Linked DNA regions of Schizosaccharomyces pombe. Each later gene encodes a partner of the first gene's protein in a complex. Each region holds a gene or a part of one and is shown on either strand. Other genes may lie near its edges.

The links.
Region 2: ker1 (region 1) and rpa2 share a complex: the UniProt entries of both Schizosaccharomyces pombe proteins name them as parts of the RNA polymerase I (Pol I) complex.
Region 3: ker1 (region 1) and rpa12 share a complex: the UniProt entries of both Schizosaccharomyces pombe proteins name them as parts of the RNA polymerase I (Pol I) complex.
Region 4: ker1 (region 1) and rpa49 share a complex: the UniProt entries of both Schizosaccharomyces pombe proteins name them as parts of the RNA polymerase I (Pol I) complex.

Annotation. Positions count from the first base shown.
Region 1 is NC_003423.3:3,472,296-3,476,782, reverse strand, and holds ker1 (DNA-directed RNA polymerase I complex subunit Ker1), read right to left. Parts: upstream 2,139-4,487; 5' UTR 2,055-2,138; coding exon 1,611-2,054; 3' UTR 1,124-1,610; downstream 1-1,123. Other genes in the region: sct1 (glycerol-3-phosphate O-acyltransferase), read right to left, coding at 1-769, 822-867; synaptonemal complex-associated protein hop1, read right to left, coding at 2,614-2,930, 2,978-3,203, 3,251-3,641, 3,682-3,922, 3,961-4,129, 4,174-4,321, 4,370-4,464. UniProt on the Schizosaccharomyces pombe protein: DNA-dependent RNA polymerase catalyzes the transcription of DNA into RNA using the four ribonucleoside triphosphates as substrates. Component of RNA polymerase I which synthesizes ribosomal RNA precursors.
Region 2 is NC_003423.3:2,005,967-2,013,296, reverse strand, and holds rpa2 (DNA-directed RNA polymerase I complex subunit Rpa2), read right to left. Parts: upstream 5,212-7,330; 5' UTR 5,179-5,211; coding exon 1,654-5,178; 3' UTR 1,342-1,653; downstream 1-1,341. Other genes in the region: alp5 (Ino80, NuA4 and Swr1 complex actin-like protein Arp4), read right to left, coding at 1-235; mtm1 (Mn(2+) ion transporter), read right to left, coding at 6,322-7,329. UniProt on the Schizosaccharomyces pombe protein: DNA-dependent RNA polymerase catalyzes the transcription of DNA into RNA using the four ribonucleoside triphosphates as substrates. Second largest core component of RNA polymerase I which synthesizes ribosomal RNA precursors.
Region 3 is NC_003421.2:1,038,300-1,041,516, reverse strand, and holds rpa12 (DNA-directed RNA polymerase complex I TFIIS subunit Rpa12), read right to left. Parts: upstream 1,418-3,217; 5' UTR 1,385-1,417; coding exon 1,160-1,384; exon of another isoform or gene 915-1,159; coding exon 780-914; 3' UTR 501-779; downstream 1-500. Other genes in the region: Ino80 complex subunit Iec3, read right to left, coding at 4-143. UniProt on the Schizosaccharomyces pombe protein: DNA-dependent RNA polymerase catalyzes the transcription of DNA into RNA using the four ribonucleoside triphosphates as substrates. Component of RNA polymerase I which synthesizes ribosomal RNA precursors. Required for growth at higher temperatures.
Region 4 is NC_003424.3:3,924,486-3,929,637, forward strand, and holds rpa49 (DNA-directed RNA polymerase I complex subunit Rpa49), read right to left. Parts: upstream 2,795-5,152; 5' UTR 2,776-2,794; coding exon 1,498-2,775; 3' UTR 1,048-1,497; downstream 1-1,047. Other genes in the region: sec67 (translocation subcomplex subunit Sec72), read left to right, coding at 268-846; single-strand DNA-binding protein Rim1, read right to left, coding at 3,296-3,399, 3,484-3,832; SPOM_SPAC2F3.05C (xylose and arabinose reductase), read right to left, coding at 4,324-5,151. UniProt on the Schizosaccharomyces pombe protein: DNA-dependent RNA polymerase catalyzes the transcription of DNA into RNA using the four ribonucleoside triphosphates as substrates. Component of RNA polymerase I which synthesizes ribosomal RNA precursors.

The DNA.
Region 1 (4,487 bases):
TCCGTAGGGATAGACAGTGGGGAGCCAAACTCTAGCACAGCACGTGAGCGAAAGCGATGGGGGTGGAAATAATTCATTCCACAGGGAAGAAGCTGAAGACCACAATCCGGATGCTGAGAAAGAGTTTCCAACGCCATAATTGCAACGCCAGCTTTAAGCGGTAGCATTTCAGGACGATCGTGAGATCCACCTTCAGGGAATAGAGCAATGCATGCACCCTTCACCAGACGTCTACGGACTTCATTATAAACATATGTTTGATCAATCTCAGGAGCCACCTTGTAAGACGACCCTTCGGGAGAAAGCAAAACTCTCTCAGCATCTTCTCCACGAAACTCACGTTTAACATATAATAAGGTATCACTTTTAATGGATGCTATATGAGAACTTCCATAATTATTAGGAAGAAGGAGAGTATCACCGACTGAATGCTTTGTAAACAGAGTATCTTTTCCGTGAATAGCAGTCTTATCACCTTCAGCTACGACAAATATCTTTCCTTCTCCGCGAATAGCTAAATCTTGCGCCCTTTCGACAGGAATTGCACCAAAAGCTCTCGACATGAGGCCAATAAATCTTTGACGATAACTTTTAGCAGCAACCAAAATGGAAGTCCTCCTACCTACTTCTCTACGAAGTTGTAACATCAAAATCAAAGGATCTACGAATTGGTTCGCATGCGGCGCGGCCACTAAAATTAGAGGTCCCTTGCGAGGAACTCTAAAAGAGCCTCGCGTTTTAACTTCACGGAAAAAGAAATCGATTAAAACTGGGGTTCATTAATTAGCGTTCCGGTTGTAACTAAATGATAAGTAACTTACTTGATAAAATCCATAAGCACGTATCATAAATAAAGGTATGTTGCATTATAATTGAGTGAACGAACCCGTCTTCAGGGTTTCAAGTAAGATTAAACGATACTAGTAAAATAATCGTGAGTGTTTGGGAGGGGCCTCCTGGGTAATTCTAATAAGGTCTACGTAAAAAAGTAGGTCTCACTATATAGTACGCTGAAGTTGTATAAGGCAACGCGTTGTTTCATTAGATAGTTATAAGTCACTAAGATATACATGTTAATATCAATCGACATAAATCAGTATTAGTAGAAACATTAAAGATGTGATGTGAAAGAAATAGTATATTAGGATTCACAGAGTATTGATTTGAAAGATTGAGTTTAGTAATTGATCTCGCCATGATCTTTGTTAAATTGTTATTTAACAATTATTTGTGACAACAATTTCGACAATAAAGCCTATATTAAAAAAAAAATCAATTAAACTATGGGATAAACAAGAATTTAATGATGAATTTAAAATCTTTAAGCATAATCTGATACTTGCAACTGAGAATGAATGGATAAGGACTTACAAAATATGCAAACTCAAGTACTGCGAGTAAAAAAGTTGCATTGTAGTTGTCCTCAAACACATGATCAAAAAAAACCTTAGGATTTTTTCTCTCACGTTTAAAAGATTTAATAAATAATCGCAGCCAAAAAACCCAATTTTTTTAATGAAGCGCAAACTATATTCGAAAGCTCATATGATGTTTTAGAAATCGAACAAAATAACTGAACCACAAATAATCAACACACCTTTAAATTTACTCTAACTCTGTTCTTTTTCCCCTACACCTTGAGTCGTATCCGCTTTGGCCTTACGAGCCTCTTCCTTTTCCCGTCTCGCAGCCTTCTTTTTTTCCTTTTTTAGACGCTTTTTGGTTTCTTTATCCAAATGCAAATCATCGTTCTCTTCCCTTGCATGTTTCAGACTTTCCTCTTCCTTGGTTTCCAACATTTCTTCAGGTGGTATTATTAATTCCTCTGTGGGAGGGCCTTGGACAGGTAAATTTAAAGAAATAAGCGGTATCTCTTCTCCTTTCAGGTACATCAAGACTCTATTTAACTGGGATAGAACACTCTCACTTCCAGATTTTTCATCTTGGAAGCGCTCAATCGTTTGGATGTAGCGATTGAGAAATTTACTAGACGCGTCTTTGTCTAGCTTTTCAGACTTTCGCAAAATCATTTTAGGTGGACATTCTGTCGCCATGTTTAAAACGAAAATTCTCCTGAATAATGCAAAGTTCTCACGAACACAGCAATAATGTAACTTCAGTATCAAATGGAAAAGTTCAAGTCTAATGTGTAACGTTCTATACTTTTTTTTTTTGACATCAAATCACCACACTATTCACACATAATGCAATTCAAGAAGTGCTTAAATTAGCTACGCAATTTCGTATTCGTTTAGCGCTGCGTAGAACTGCGATAAAATTTACTTGTGATCTAGTTTATAGTGGTATGCATGATTCTTGTATGAAGTCTATATTCATATCTCATGTTCGTATAAGCTCATAACTGAACCTCATTCCTCATTTCAATTACCGCCTATTTATAATGTCGTAAGCATAGTTATCTACGACAAGAAAATGAGTTTGTATGAATATTGTCTCATATCTAACGGATGATAACAGAACATGTTATTTATGGTAATAATGTAGTATAGCTAATAATAAATATATTATGTAAGTTTAAATTAATAGTTTGAGCAAATAGATGCAATACTGATCCATCTCAAATTGTTTGAAGATAGGATAAGTCGTATAAGTTTAAATCCTCAGAGGTTTCATGGTGTCTGTCTCTTTAGTGTTTGAAGTCTTAGAAACCTTTTTTGGTCTTTCTATTACTTCCATTCTTTCGGGCCGTAGAAAAGATCGCATATTTACACGTTGATTCTCTTGACGATAATTTTGAAAATTCAGATGAGATATCCATCGCGACGGTGTAAAATACTTCTCACGAAGATATGACACCATTTCAGGGCTTTTATTCGTAAAATATATCCATTTTCGTTTTTTTTCCTTATAGATTATGTTTTCGTTAACTAATCTTTCTTCAATTCTTTTGGCATCAGCATAGCTGCAATCTTAGATAATGTTAGTATATGGTCAATGAGTTGGTAAATTTCCTTACTCAGTCGCGCCGCTAGCTTTTGGAACCCTTGATACTCTGACGCCCAAATACACCGAATTGCTCGTCTGTATGCGACCAACATGGTCATTCGGTCATACAAACTAGATTCAGAATCAACTAACAAACATGTATAACATAACAATTGGTTTGGTTGGCGAGGATCAGAGTCACTCTCAAATCCATAGCAAGCACAGTGAACCCATCCATCACATCTTTCGCATTGAAACTGTGTAAAATATTGTTAGTCTTTAGCAGGTATAAACGATTACACACCATTTCTGAGTCTTCCGTCGAATCACCGCATTCACAATTCAAAAGTGCTTTTTTCTTTTCGGCTTTGTCAACTTTGTCACTCCCTGAAATGTTTTTTTTTAACCAATTGCTTTTCTTTACTTCTTCACAAGGATTGTTATTTTTTATTTCCCTTAATCCACGACTTTCATTCTGCATTTTCTCACATTTTCCTTGACTCAAACTTTTTTCAACTGATTGTTCATCCAATATTTGAGTTGAGCCTATTTCATCGTATTTCAAAGGCTGGAGGAACTTTTCGAGCTGAGAATCAATTTTTTCTTGAGAATCAAATAATGATGATTCTTTATTAATCATGATCTTCTCTGTACTTATCGGTACAAATGCATGAGAACAATGTGAAATCGCAATACTATAGATTAGTAACTTGAAATTTGTTTTAATTTACTTACCCATTGTTTGATTCATAAAAAGATACAATATCTTTGAATTCTCCTCGATTGAGCCAAGACATGCAATCTTTTGTTTCTACGGTATTTAAAAACACGCCAGCTTTAGTTGCTTCTCCTTTTGATAATTGAAAGCGTTCCATTTTTGTAATAATTTGTACGACTTTTTCTTCGTCTTTGCACTCTGTTTTTACGTTACCACTTAAAAATAACTTTATTACAAACCTTTCTGAACGTTGATAAGCTTGATAAAACTCTCATGAAGTCTGTTAAAAAATTTACAAACAAAAGACTCACAACATATTTTCTCTTCACTTCCAGGGTTAATTGTAAATGAAAATATCTCCTTTTCAACCGCGTCATCCTCTAATATTGACTTGCATTGTGACGAAATAATCAGGTAAACAGTAAATGGAACTTTCATTGATACAAGTGAGAAAATATAAGTTTTCTAAAATATTAGTTTATTTCTTTAGATAAGTTTTAAACACTCACCATCATTTCCAAAAAACTGTCTGCTTCTTTGTCCACTCCAGCTTGTAAAGAAACCACAGTAGGTTTCAATTGACAATCAAAGTCAGCTCCTTTAAAATGTTCAATTTCGAAATTGACTTTCTTGTAGCAGTTTTCATTGAAAAGAGCACTTGCCTTCTGTTAGCTATTTTAATTTAAAAATTATATGTCTGCGTACCGCTTATAGCATAATGTTGATATCGCGAAGAAAATTAAATTTTTAAGAGTAAAGTCAGACTTAGTTTGCAGAATTTCCTCTTTGTATGAATTCATTTGTCATTTATACTTAGAAGTAA
Region 2 (7,330 bases), 1.5 Mb from region 1:
CATCCCAATTTTCAACCCAACCATTACGAATTGCATTTTTTATTTCCATTCCAGGGTTTGATTTATATATGTATTCCTCACCGAACAACCGTCTGCCATCACTGAACTCTCCACAGTAGCTAGGGAGTACGCATTTGGGAATATCTTCTCCAGAAAAACCTATTCGAGTCCATTTGCTTCCAGGATCAATTACAATAGCTGAAACTTCATCTCCGCCATAAAATGCGCTAGTCATCTTACCAGCAGTACAGTTTGTCTACGTGATAAGATTCTCAGGCAAAAGTTGTCGTTGGCACTTGGACAAGACGCATCGTTGAGATCATGAAATAGGTCGCCAACGGCTTTTCTTAAAAATACCCATCACTCTTTCCTATTTTATTTAGTTGGTTTAATTAATTAAAAATAAGACTTTCATTTAGAAAAGTGTGCATTCTTTAAGCATTCATGCAACGAGAATGTCGCTAATTTTCAAGCTTTTAATAGACGCGTCAAGTAAACTAGGTTTTCAAAAATAAGCATTCATATGAAAGATTGGGCTCATAGCACAAAAAAAAACAATTGTACAAGAAATCCACAATAGTTGAAAAGATAATTATTATGCTCCTAATAAACAAATTCATTTAGTGATTTTTTGAGTTTTTTGCTATAGTCAGCTACGCAGTTTGGTATATATTTAACGATACATAGAATTACGGTGAGTTTCTCTTACGACTTACAATATAGCGGTATGCAGTATGTTAACTAACAATGTATATTTATTGTTATATGAAGTCTATTAATATCGGTTGCCGAAATAGCGTTACAGCCGAACCTCGTTCCTCAGTTCAGTTATGAGCTATATTAGTGATAGGTAACATTATAACCCAGTTAATACAATACCTATACTCAGTTGCTACTCATACAACCTGTGTATTGTAATATAATAGATCACAAGGAAAACTCACCGCAGTTCTACGTATCCTTAAATCAGATACCAAACTGCGTAGCTTACACACTATACTAAATATCGGTTATCTAATATAGTATAATGAAGCACAAAATACAATTTAGCGTGGGTTTCTGTAATTCGTCATTATGCTGCTCTTAAATGTGAACCATGCGAATAGGTATTTTTTATAATTGAGTGCATAGATTTTCTGTAGTTGAGCTGTTCTTAAAATTATAAGATATCAATTCTCTTTTCTCCATACGAATGTGTGCTCACGAATTTGCATCAGATCTCAACCTCTGATTAATCTGCTTCTTTGAACATTCGATCACTCTTTGGTATCAAGTATCTATTAACCAATATATAATACAATTTAAAGCAAAAAGACATCTAATAATAAACTTTTTCTTGTCAATTATGTCTTAGCCGCTTCTTAATCAAAAAGATAAAAATCAATCAATTTATTATTAGTCCACCTAGACCTACCTTTATAGTTTTCTATATAAGTTTTTTTATTAACTCTTCCCCCAAAACAATAAGTAATTTTATATGCAAAACGTAATCCGAAGCAAAAATCAGAAACCTGTTGCGAAAGAAAACAGAATCAAATGGAACTGAAAATACACACATCACCCATGGCATTTTGTCAGTCCTTTTAAAAAAATTTTTTTTAAAGAAGTTGAAAGCGAATATATTAATTTCAATACTCTTTTCAACACTTTAATCTATTTAACTTCAAGCATCATTTTAATATTCATAGCAGTAAGTTCCGCCGTCAAGTAATTGAAAACACTGGGTAATGCGATCAACGTAGTATTTGTGCCGCCGACAAATTTCTTTCCGCTACCATCCTGCCAAATGTCACTGGTATCTTCCAATCCCAAAGCGGGTTTGGCACAGCTTCTGCACCTGACTTCTGAGGCACTTCCTACGCCATTCATCGAAATTGTAGACATGATAGAAATAATAGACCCACAATCTCGACAAACCCAGCTCTGGGCATAATCAGAACAATTCATTAAACGATCCTGCATCAAGAACGATGTGCCATGACCGATAACAGCATCACGTTCCATTTCACCGAAACGAATACCACCAGCACGTTTGCGACCTTTGACGGGTTGACGAGTAAGATTATGAATGGGTCCGGTTGTACGTACTTGAAATTTATCACTAACCATATGGCGAAGACGTTGATAGTAGACAACTCCAATATAAATATCAGCCTTCATCTCCTGTCCTGTGATACCACTATACATAGGCTCGTTTCCATGATAGTTGTAACCAGCCTTAACCAATTGTTCGCCAAAGTAGTCAGCAGCAGTTTGCTGCTCAGAATAGATAAAGGGTGTGCTGTCTTGAGCCAAGCCATGGCAGGCGCCAGCTTTACCAGCTAAACTTTCAATAAACATACCAATTGTCATACGAGAGGGGAACGCATGAGGATTAATAATGATATCAGGTTGCATTCCGCTTTCTGTAAACGGCATATCGACAGTGGGCCACTTTTGTGAACAAATACCCTTTTGTCCATGTCTAGAGGAAAATTTGTCACCAATAATCGGACTACGGGTAATACGAAGCTTAACATGAATTTGCTGACACTCGGAATCACCAACATCATTACCAAGGAGTCTAACTTCGTCAACAAAACCAGGCTCAGTACCGTGATAGGTTTCAATAAAATTTTGACCAGTAGATTCATCATAGTAAGCGACAATGGGATCTCCATCCTCAAGTTTAATTCCAATAAAAGGTAACCCGTCGGCGTCTAACTTTTGCAACCATTCGCGACGAGGCGTTGAACCGGGAGCAAAACCAAAATGGTGAACGACTGGTTCACCTCTGCGACGCTTTTGGGAAAGGTCAAAAGATTCACCCTTATATACAGTACCATAACCAAAACCACGCTCATGAGCAGATTTATTCAAAATCATAGCATCTTCCATATCGTAACCAGTGTATGAGATAACGGCAACAACAGCGTTTGTACCATTTGGATAATGATCGAGGCCATAGGTATTGTGAAGCTTAGGACGAACAACTGGTGTTTGTCCTGTTTGAAGACGATAAAGTTTGTTGTCAGTACGATAACGAAGGGCCGTACCAGGCGTACCCATAGTTTGTTTACCCATCTGACATTGATACATGTTACGAGGAGACTGGTTAAAGTCTGAGAATGGAGTCATATTGGCAACGATGGAGAGTACATTTGTGGGCGAATACTCTACATGAGTAGAAACTTTAGGAACGATTTCTTTAGGGAAACATGCAATATCCATGTAAACTTGCTCAAATGGACCAAGCATATCAAGTTCACCAGTAGAAATGTGCTTAACCGGTCGAACCATCCTTGCAGGATTGCTAAACAGATAAAGACCTGGATATTGCCCGTTATGAGACGGAGGCACATATCCAATTTCCAAATCTAAAGGGACCTTAGCAGGTTCAGTGGCAGTTCCATTACGCAACTTGACAGCATATTCAATTTTCATTAAACGTAGCACATCAGCAACGTGCTTAGCAAGTTTGTAAGTACACCAACCAACAATCTTTCCATCCAATTGTACGCATCCCCAACCAGATTCATGACCAACTACACTTGGAGGATCAACACCCAACGATAGCAAAAGTGATGGGATTTGACTTACATCAGAAGGATGGGTGACAATTTCACATTTTCTAGCCAAATGGTTTAAAAGACCACATGGAGAACCATCGGGTGTGTGAACTGGACACATGAAACCCCAAGCTTCAGGAAGCAATTTACGGACAGTAGTAGTTTTAAGCTCAGCAAAAAATGCACCACGGTGTACCATTCGAAAATGTGAAAGAAAGCGGTAGAAGTTCAACTTCTCGGCGACAACAGTGTAACCTGTAGCTTGTTGTAAATCAAGACCAGTATTGGAAACAAGGTTACCGGTACTCAAGAAATATTGTAATTTCGTTCCGATGTCATTGTTAATTTTAGAAAAGACACGGGTCAAGTATTTACGATCGGAGAAATCAACACCAGGCGCTGAGCGTCGAACATCCAAATTAATTTGAGCGCGGATGCTATTTAGCCAATCCTCAATCTTCTCCTTAAGAATTTGACCATAAAGAAAACCACCTAATAAAATTTCCTGATGTTGTGGAGAGTCAGGGTTATCGGCACAGCACTCTCCAGCTACAAGTGCATATAACTTGCGGATCATAAATAGGAGAAGGCGGAATTTATCCTTAGCTTCACGAAGGTGAACTAAAACAACCTTTTGTAAGAGAAAGCGGCCAACTTCAACATCAGTTAGGTCTTCAGCAACGCCGAGAACAACACGAAATTTGCTACCCAAATACTGAAGTGTTTCAGTTTGGGAGTAAAGACCATAGGACTTATAAGCTCTAAGCATAAGCTCAACACGATCCGTCAAGAAAGTATTTCCCAAATCTTTACCAACAATGCCCTCAAAAATTTCTTTATCGCTGGTTTCTAACAGGGCCTTAAGAATCATCATCGAAGGAATTAAATATTCGTTTTTACGCCAGTGAAAACGAAACATCGTAACACCATTGTTAAGATAATGAAGGGTGTTGGTTAAACTAGACTGGTCTGGACGGACACAACGAATAGATAAACCATACTGTGAGTAGCTAGTACCACGATTGGCAAAAGAAGGGCGAATGATGGCAGTAGGATGATTGCGCTTAGGTAAAATTAACATACGAATCAACTTCTCAATACCGTTAACGATAAAGTAACCGCCCATCTCTTCGCTCTCCTCTTTATGAGCAATAAGTTCGGCAGGAGACAATCCTTCCAGATGACATCTGTTGGACCGTACCATGATGGGAATCATGCCTACTTCACGCATTTCTGATTGTCTAGGGCCTCCATTGACACTCCATGAGAATTTAAGAACCAATCTTGATTTATAAGTAGTCAAACGCTCTCTGGCTTCAGCAGGGTAGACTTTGCGGTTAATAGAAGACCTTTCACGACTAGACAACATTGGCTTCGCAATTTGAACCTCATCAACGCGGAAGGAAATCTTATTTCCAAATTTCAATGCACCACCTTCTTCTTGTGTGATCGAGTCAAATGCACATTTCTCACCAATTTCCTTAACAGCATAGTTGAGTAGTCCGGCATTAGTAAGGGCGTTAAAGGAATCAACATGAGGTTTTACGGCCTTTTGCAAATCTGGAAAGCTCGTTCCGTCCTTGGGCGGATTTTTAAACGTCCTTTCTCGCTCTAACGTTTGGAATGACATCCCAGGTTTGCAGAGAAAATTTTGGCGGAGGACACCTGCTATATTCATACTAAATTGAGCGTTAAGCGAACACTTAACAAGCTTTAATGAAAAGCGGTAAAATGGTTTAAACATTAAGGCGCTGAAGTGCGGAATATGCAATAGTATAGCGTTGTTCATTCCACTGCCTAATTCAATTCTAATAGTAAATCGCTTTTTGGGTAGTGTTCTTGCTTGATTTTATTAATGAACGACTATCCATTGTCTTTGAAGAGTAATAGAAAAGGTAAAGTGTTATCGAAAGTGTACTCACTGTACGCTGACAGATAAGTTGGTGATCGACGCTACTAATATTTGATTTATACCGCAATTGAAGCTATAAAGAATTTGTTTATTGATATTTTAGAATGTCTCCTGCAAGTCCTTACTTGTTGCTTATCTCAGTAAATTCAAGAAGAAAAGCTTAAACACAAGTAACCATTGCCCTGTTACAGTTCATATCACCGATCAGTTGAATGAAACCTAATAAATATTTAATTTGCTTTGTCTTAGTATCTTAAAAAAAATCTTGTTAAAGGGCTTTTTTTTATCACTTTCAATATTTATTTTAGAAATAATTTCGTTATATACGATTCTAGTCTAGTCAATTCATATAAAATAAACGGATAACAAAAGCTCCCACTTTAAAAATCGCTTTCTTCAAAGATCTAAACTTTTTGGCCCGAGCTGTTTCTGCTTTTCAATAACGGAAAAGAAAAACATTGAATAAAATATATGTATCCTCAACCATTGAAAAAGCTTTTAAAAAGAACAACAATGGGTATATAATGAAAGCATTAGCTTCAATGTCTGGTAAAAACATAGCAAGCTTGTTCTACTATGGCTTTATTTTAGAGACTAATATCAGAAATTAAAAAATATTAATTTTTAGTTTCTACGCTTCGTAAATTAACCCAACCTATTTTACTTTCAAGACTCTTTCGATTTGCATTTTTGAATCCTGTATTATAGTAAACATATAGACTACAAATAGAAATGGAGTTGCGAGAGGGGAATTATCAACATAAATGGAATCCTGTAAGAAAAGAGATGAAAACATTAAACCGAAAAAAAAAGAACAAAGGTTTCATCAAGCCAACCAAAACCTGAAAATCAACGTCTAAATTAATAAGCATCAACAGACTCAGAAAAGTACTTTTTAGTTAAATGATAACTTGAAATCATGATTGCACAGGACGGTGCAACTTTAACACATCTAGGCAACGTGCCTTTCCACAAGGCCTTGGGACCACCTCGCTTCCATAAGGTTAACATAAACTGACCTCTGGTTAACGTATGTCCATGCACCTGCTTAGCAGTTTTTGATACATCGAAAGGTTGAGTTAATAGGGTTGCTAGAGTCCCACTAATTCCTCCGCTCACAAAATTGATATAGAGGTCCTTTGTAGATTGAGAGCTGGAAAATGCTTGAAGTGATGGATGCCCAAGCAGGAAGAGTCGAATTCTCTCATACGACCACCAGTAAAATGCACTGAATGGTACATCTCTCCACAACGTTACGCTGACACCGCTCCATAAATTCAGTATACCTTTTTGATGAATCATTAATTTCAATCCATCAAAGACCTCATTAGCAATCTCGCGCGCATGGCCGGGCGGATAATGGCCGCCTACTGCTTGCACTCGAGTCCTGAATAATTCTATAGGAGACACAATAGTAGCAGATATTGTGCGCGCAGATGCTCCTGCGATTGCAGCAGCAGCAGGAAAGCCCCAATCACTGTATAAGGGAAGTAATTGCTCATACCCAAGAAACTGTACAGTGTTTGCTGGCAAGAGCATTGTCAATGAAGGAACTAATCCACGCCACAAGCTTCTAACACCTTCATGCCGAGCGATCTGATAAAGTCCGGATACCGGGCCTCCTAAAGGCTTTGGAGCTGGCCTTCCCTTCCCCAATATCTTTGCTGAAGAAATGGGTTGCGTAGAAGAATATTGAGAAATAGATTCACTCTGCAAGCGGGTTTTCACAACATCTAAAGGCGTTACAGTCAGCGTTGTAATTACACTTCCTACACAAGCTGACAGCATTTTCGCTATAGGCTTCACATCGGGCTCAGCATTCACCGACAAGTCAGCTTCTACGCCTTCTGTCGCAGCTCCTATCTGCATG
Region 3 (3,217 bases), on another chromosome or scaffold:
TACGCATTTTCTAATAAAATTCTGCGATAAACTTCTGATATTTCAGCAATCTTTTGTTCAATTTCCTCTGTTTCAAGGACTACCGAATCAAATGACTTTCGAAGTTTTAAATATTTTCGTTTAAAGGATTTAACAGACGCCATATGTGAAAAGGCAGGTGAGAATATATTTCAAATGGTTGAACACCTACCTGCCCATTTGGGCTCTTGAGTGTTACGGTACATAGTACGCTCCATTTCGTTACACATTCATTTCCATATTAGAGAAAAAGAAATAAATAACCGATATACTACTATTCATAAAATGCTGATAAACATTGAAACTCAAACTCTTTAAAAATTCTGAGAAAGGAAGTATCCACAGGTTCAATCGTGATAGACAATGAATTTTCTCTATTTAGTTTGAACCAGGAAAGACAATAATGAATAAAGGAATAAGTTATACCATATTATTTTTTAAACAAAAAGTAACCCCGAAAAATAGAACCAACAAGAACAGAAGAACTGTTATTTTTTTTAACACCTGGATAAAATAGAAGACAAAACAAGAAAATCGGATATCAAGAGCATCTCTTTCTATTTCATGAACGTTGCCGTATTACTAGACAAATAAAATTTATCGAGCATGAAAATAACGGAAGCAGAAGGACAATCGAAGATATTAAAAACAATAGTCTTCATACAAATCAGTCAGCATACATACATGAAGAACGGCGTAAGAAACAGTGAAATATTGAGAAAATCACAACCAAAAGAATGATTAACAGATGAAAACTCAATCTAATTGTTTGTACTAAATTTATAAGCACATCGAGGACATTCGTAAAACACCGTAGAACCTTCATCAGCAGACCTCAATTGCAAAGTATGGAAAGTCATATGGTCGTTTCCACATTTTGGACATTTTTCCTCAATCTACAAAACTTTGTTAGTATGGCAATAAACCCAAAAAAGGACTATGATAAAGTCCTTTGCCTGACTGTGCCGATTTTTCAATTCACTGGATATATGATACAAAAAAGTTCCTTGATTAGACTCTCCTAATGCATTCTTAAAAAAAAAAAAGTTTTCCAAATGATACAAAGCCTAAAAGGAAAGAAGAATGACAACCAACATGAAAAAAAGGATTCGAAAAGAATAGACAAAAATAAGTTACATACCGTTGCTGCCTCCTCCTTCTGAGATTCTACTTGAACGATACTGTGCTTGAGTTTTAAAGCAGAAGGAAAAGCACTTGCACTACTCTTCGTTTCCACTACCAAATTGGCAAATTGCTCAGAAGGATAAACGGATTGACACTGATCACAAGTAGTCCATTGGGCAGTAGTCGATTCCAACAAGTTACCGCATTCTGAGCAAAATATCAAAGACCCTATTGCCGACATTGGGATTCCTCCTTGCTTGATGGGGAAGGCACTGGTGTTTATGACAAGCTAGTTTGTCTTTGACAAGTGCAATTTTCTTTCGCTGTAACTCATTATTTTGCGGTAAGTGATGGAAAAGCGAGTGTATCATTATCGTAAAAGCCAATACACACTGTGAGCGACTATGATCAGTATAGTGCCTTAATTAGTAAACAATAAGCTAGAGATGAGTAAACGAATTTCCTGATCTATTGATGAACATTATGCTAAAGGCATAAATTACAGACATTTAAAAATCATTCGTTTTTGTAAAGAAATTACTTATTGATAAATCAACCTTGGAATTCCAAGTTGGGGAATTTAAAAAGCTTTCTCGGGAAATTTCACCTATATAAGTATTGTATCGTTGTTTCTGGAAAAAATTCGGTAAGAAAAATTTCTTTGTATTTTTTCAAGCATCAACTAATTGTTTGAAGCTATTTCTTGCTACTTTAAAATTTTGTTGCCCAAACGATTTTTGTCTAGCTGGGCAATACTTTGTTCAAATACAAAGCCTGTCACGGAATACAGAACAAGATTTGTGTACATATATACTAGCGACTTTCAAAATCGTTGTACCTTATAAATTGTGCTTTTGATTATTTAACAAATTCTTCCTTATCTCAAAAGAAAATTATTTTGCTTGATTGAATCATCAATTTGGAAATCATATTTTGCACTTTAGGTATTTTAATCGTAATTTATGTGATAAGCTTGGAAATAATAAAAAATATAAGAATAATAAAAATTTAATTTGTCTGTACGTTGCAACTATTACATGTACAACAGAAAAGCGAACAGATAAATAACAAAATGCAAAAAAAATACTACTAAATAAAAGAAAAAACAAATAAATTCAAAAGATATAGCATTAATAAGAAAAGAGATCACCAAAAAAAAAAGAATCATATTCACGATTTCAATAAAAAGGTCTGTGTATTTTCTACAAAGGATTTGGCATTATACTTACTATTATGTGTTTTCCACTACTTGAGCGTTTCAAATCCATTATGGTTTTGAAAGCGCCTTTGTCTATAACCGCCATAACCCAGTCCATCTGTATAGGGCTCGCTTCCGTATTCCTATATTATGCAATGTAAGGTTGATTTTCTATTTTGGTAAAACAGAGATGAATATGGCATGTTTTTACTAGTGAGATTATTGTGCTGTACCCGACGATTGACAACAGTGGGACTTGTTTGCTCTAGTTATTTAGAAGCAAAAATTTTTTTCCTCATATCTCTCTCTCTTTCTGGGGTAGTCCTTTTTGGAAGAGTGCAACGTGACATAGTCTATGGGATTGTAGGCAACAAAAATGTATAGGAAGAGTTATTGTTGCTACATAATGGAAATTACTTAGTGAGTACCATATCTTGTCGGTGAAAATGGATATTTACTTTGCCGATCATTGCGTAGCTCGGTTTTTGCCAAGGAAAGAAACAAGTAAACCAGTTTGGTAAAGAAAAAGGATGATAAAAAAGGTTAGAGATTTTAAGCGTATCTAAATAAAGGTAAGATACTTTAAAAGTACGTTAAAATCTGTGTCTTGTAAAATTTCCATTTGTAGAATTGTTGCATAAGGATGGAGTACCACTGCTTTAGTATAGTTATACGTAACCATGAGTTGGTTGTCTGTAGGACATAGCGAGAAGATTGAAATTGCTATACGTAGTATTTTAGTGTTTTTGGTTAACTTGTTAATAGACGTTTTTTTCTATTCTTTTTTCTCTTTCGTTGCTTAGATGATTAGTGAGTTGTTCATTGCTTTCTTTGAATTTAAAAGGAAAATAAAAGGGTATAACACAGTATTCATCA
Region 4 (5,152 bases), on another chromosome or scaffold:
TATTACCTGCTTTTTGCAATATTGCAATATAATAGATCATAAAGCTCATTGCAGTTCTACACATCGTTAAAATTAAATAACAAACTGCGTAGTTAGTATTTATGTGTGTTAAAGTATTGTGACACGTTCTGCTAACACTTTCAAGTTTACTACTTGCATTGAACATTGCTTGTCTTCTCTAAATTATTTGTACATAATAATCCATCCGAGCTTTGTGCTTTACATTAAGAGCAGCTTCACTACTTCTTCTTTTAAAACTTTGCTTCGATGGTTGCTAAACAAGAATCGGTGGTTGCACCTCAAGTTGATGTGTCAAAATGGAGTGGGAAGGAATTGGAGTTGGGCAAAAAGGTTAATGAATACGCCAAGTCATTAGCTACGTTTAAATATCCTTTTTTTATTCCACCTCCCTATCCTCCTGCTAAGCCAAATATGGCCTTGTCTACCCAAGTTAATAAGATGAAGCAAACTGCAAACGAGGCATTTAAACGCAAAAAGTATGAGGAGGCAAAAAAGTTATATGGATTAGCATTACAACTCGCTTTGAATCGCTGTACTTGGGAACCGTCGATTCTTACGCGTGAAGAAGCAAGTGTTATGTTGTGTAATCGGGCGGCTGCTGAGATTGCCCTTTCCCAATTCCCCGAAGCTTTAGCAGATGCAAATGCTGCTTTGAAAATTCGAAATAATTATGGAAAGTGTTATTATAGGAAAGCAAAGGCTTTGGAGGCAATGCATCGCATAGAAGAGGCTAAACAGGTTGTACGAGACGGTTTAATTTTGGCAGAGCCAGTTACGAGAAACGAGTTGGTGGCTTTATGGGCAAGTTATACTGAAAAAGATTAAAACCAACTGTATCATGGTTTCAAATGATCATTGGATTTGCACGCTCCTTTTATTTCCTTTCTTTGTGTTGTTTCATATTACCATAAACACTTACGGCCACATAATTAATCCATTTCAAAATTAATACTAACTTGATATTATTGCCAATTCATTTAATGCTCAGGTGATTGTAGCAATTACTGTATACAAAAGACCATCCCCTAGCACATCATAAATACGGTGGTTTTGAACATGAATCTAAGTTTCGATTGTCATTTGTTACCCTATAGTCAAACAACAATGTTATAACTTTCCAAAGGATTTATTGAGTAAAACGGTAACTTTTTTGCTTGAAAGTTAGTTACCATCTAAGTCACCCTTCTTTGCCTTATAGCAAAAGTATTATACAATGCAAAATTTTATTATTTTCTGTACTTCCACTATAATAAAAAAACACCTTTAATCCCGTATTCCCATAAGAAGTTTCTGAAAATTTGTTGGTACTTTATTTGGATATCTCAATGTCGCTTTGACGTCCAAAACAATTATAAGCAGTGGAGATATCGAACATCACGAACTTCAGTAGTTGTTTCTTCTATATATACCGTCCTTCTTTTTTTTTAAAAAAACACACACACATTTTTTTGAAAATAAACAACGCTGTACTTTTCTCTAATTTCTAGCGCGTCCACGTCGAGGTTTAGGGAACTCTAGGGGAATTTTTAATACTGCACGCTTATGATTTTTAGCATCAGTTTTGTTAAGACCTAAAGCCATTCTTTGAGTTTCGGTGTAAGCCATAATTCGACAACCCACCGTTCTAAAAAGCTCATTAGCCTTCATGGTCTTGACATTCAAGTCATTTGCCAAGGTAAGAACATCAGTTGAGTAATTATCAACGATTAAGCACAATACCAGAATATAACATATGATTTTATCAACTTCTCGAGATGATACTTGGACGCTACCAATACCGGTGGTTTGAGTAAAACGTTTAATCAACCCATCAATAAGAATCTCTGGTGGATCAGCCAATTTTTTACGTAAAGTTTCACGGTTGCCCACAGAACGACGAGAAAACAAAAAAGCTTGCAAAAGAGAAATGTAATACAAAATTCTCGCCCGCTTCTGGTCAACCTCCTCAATGGAAAGTAATCGCTGGAAGCGTTCATTAATAAACAAGGAGTGACGGTACGGCAATAATTTGGCCCAATTGCGCTCGTCAGGGTTTTCTAACAGAGGCTTAATGTAAATAGCTGAAAACTCTTCTTTGGGAATAATGTCCTCCAATTTGTATGCATCTTCAATGGATTCAGCACCGACATTGACAGGAGGAATAGGGCGATCTTGCGCTTGAGCAGCAGCGATATCTTCTTGCGTTGGAAGTGCTTCAGTAGCTTTTTGAACATTACTAACCAATTGATCCTTGACATCTCCCAAAGTTTCAGCTTTGACACGATTGGCGGACTCTTCCATAATAGCTTTTTGACTTTTTCTTGTACCAAATGCCAAACCCAAGTTGGCACGCTGTTCCATAACAGTACCGCTTACAGTTCCATGCTTCTTTTTCAAAAATTTGTCCTTCTCCTGAAGTGCCAAAATATTTCTTTCAAAAGTATTAAGATACTTTGCTGGAACAATCTTTTTTACACGACCAGTTTTATCAGCAACAGCTAAACAGTAATTTGCCTCAACCGTAGCCGTTGATTGATTTTTAGCCTCAAATTGAACACGCTCTGTCCTTCCAATTAACGACGCATCTCTGTTGCTCTGATTGCTCTTTTTGAGAAGCTGGAACCGGGTATTTTCGGGTGGATAAAATCCGGAAATTGTCGTGACAAGTGGTGGTAAACTCGATTCACTCAAAGGCAATATCTTAACGGATTTTTCATCACCGGAATGGGAATCTCTATATTTCCGCTTCTTGCCCTTTAACTCGTCACCTGCCATTCCAATAGTGGATGCTGTTGGTAAAAATGCTAGCGCTTAAAGAGCTTTGCTTGTTTGACGAAGTGTAGTGTACAGTCACAGAGGCTGCGAAATCTAACTTAACGAAGTTTGAGGATCAGTCATTAAATGAAAAGAATTAAAGAAACTGAATATTACAAATCGTAGAGTACACTTTAAAATAAAAAAAAATGATTATTAATTTACTGTAAAGGACTAACAAATTTGTCACTTTGAAAAAGAAGGAGTAAAGGTGACTAAGTAATTCCTAGAACGCAATGAAAACATTACAGCAGAGACATTATTGTCTATAAAAACAAATCAGAAGAGCCATGGGTAGATTATTTCCAGCGGAATAATGAAATAAACATCAAATGAAAAATACATAGCAATACCAAGTATGTGCATAATGCAGAGAAAATGAATTAGGAGACTTTTTAAACTCAATAATCCCTAGAAAAATACCACCCAAATATATTAACGGTCTAAAGTGCAGAAAATTTTTAAACTAGAAACACGAATTTTAGAAGCTGTTAATCATAGGATCTGCGTCTAATTCAGGATGAGTCTCTTCTCCGGATTCATCGCCATTTTTGTTACGAGGATAAAATAAAACGTCTGCAGATACTAATAAGAGAGGTTAGTAAATACTATATTCTGTTTTCAAATTTTGCTTCAGGCTTCAACTTGGACCATTGCAATGTTGCGTACCATGTCGCAGGCTCATTTTCGCTTGAGATCCTTCATTTCCAGCTGGGACGGAACGCCAAACAGCATCGGCCTCCACATAAACACGCGTTCCCTTCCTTAAAATAGTTTGAAGTCTGTCGAAATTGTAACTATCGAAAACATAAACCGAGTGAAAGGTAGGGGCTACGTCTTTTCCATTATTGGAAGCTACAGTATAACGCATATATTCGTTTCCTTTTTGAGACTGCAAACGCTCAACGTCTTTTGTTAAATTGCCAGTCAATGTCAAACGTTGAATATCTCTATAACGAACAGTCGATGAAGAAAACAGTCGTTTGGAAAATGCTCTGCTGGATTTTAAGAATAGCATGTTTTTAGTACCTTGAGCTCACAGGAAAGCAATTAATGGAGTCTTATTGTGTGGTGTTGTGGATGAGTGAAGTGCGCATACGTCGCATATACGAAGCGAAAAGTACTTGGAGAAGTGTGTGAATTGATAAAACCAAAGTTAGGGTAGAATTTGCTTTTAATTAGCTACATAGTAAAGAGTCTGAATATATTTCTACCCAAAATGAGCCATTTCCATGAGGTACTTTAGGTTTCTAATAAGTTTACGATACATTATGCTAGCATTTACAAATCAATGGAAGTAATACGAATTTTCTAATCTATGATCGTATATGATAAAAGTAATATCGGATTCATACTAATTCATACTAACAGTCATTGGATGCATGTTTGGTATATAAGCTGACATAAATTGAGTTTCGTAAATTCTATCATACTAGCATATCTAGGGATAGCAGAGGAAATAAATAATAAAATGCATTCTCTGCTCTTACAAGACGATCATTTAACATATTATAAAGGGGAAACGCATGGGTTCCAATCCGAATGATAATCCTCATCCAAGTTGTAGAGCTTCTCCATATCCTCTTTAGATATTTCGAAATCGAAAACGTCGCCATTCTCTTTGATCCTCCTGGGAGTAGAACTCTTGGGAAGTACAATGAATCCACGCTGTAGACAGTATCTAATCATGATTTGAGCCTCAGACTTGTTATACTTGCTAGCAATGGCGAGAAGTTGCTTGTTGCCAAACTTTTCACCATGAACAAGAGGAGCGTAGGCAGCAAGTTGGATACCCTTGGATTCACAGTAATCGACGACTTTTTGTTGGGAGCAAAAAGGGTGAAGTTCGATTTGATTGACACATGGTATAATCTTTGGATGGCTGTCCAACAATTCCTGGATGTGATGAGGACCAAAGTTGGAAACGCCGATAGCACGAAGTTTTCCCTCTTCAACACCTTTCTCCAACGCCTTCCATGATTCAATACGATCACCATAGGGAGAGTGAAGAAGAAACAGATCAATATAGCCAAGGCCACATGCCTTAACACTGGCATCAATACTGCTCAAAGTAGATTTGTACCCACTTAAATCATTAAGCTTGCTAGTGAACCAAATATCCTCTCGTTTCGTACCAGTCTCTTCCATGAACTTAAGGATGGCTCTTCCACAGTCAGCCTCGTTGTGATACATCTGAGCCGAATCGATGTGTCGATATCCGCATTGAAGGGCAGCATACACCGAATCGAAGCATTTTGTACGATTCACCATGTAAGAACCGTAAGCAAATTGAGGGCACTTAAGTCCATTGTTTAACTTAACAAATGATCCCAACATA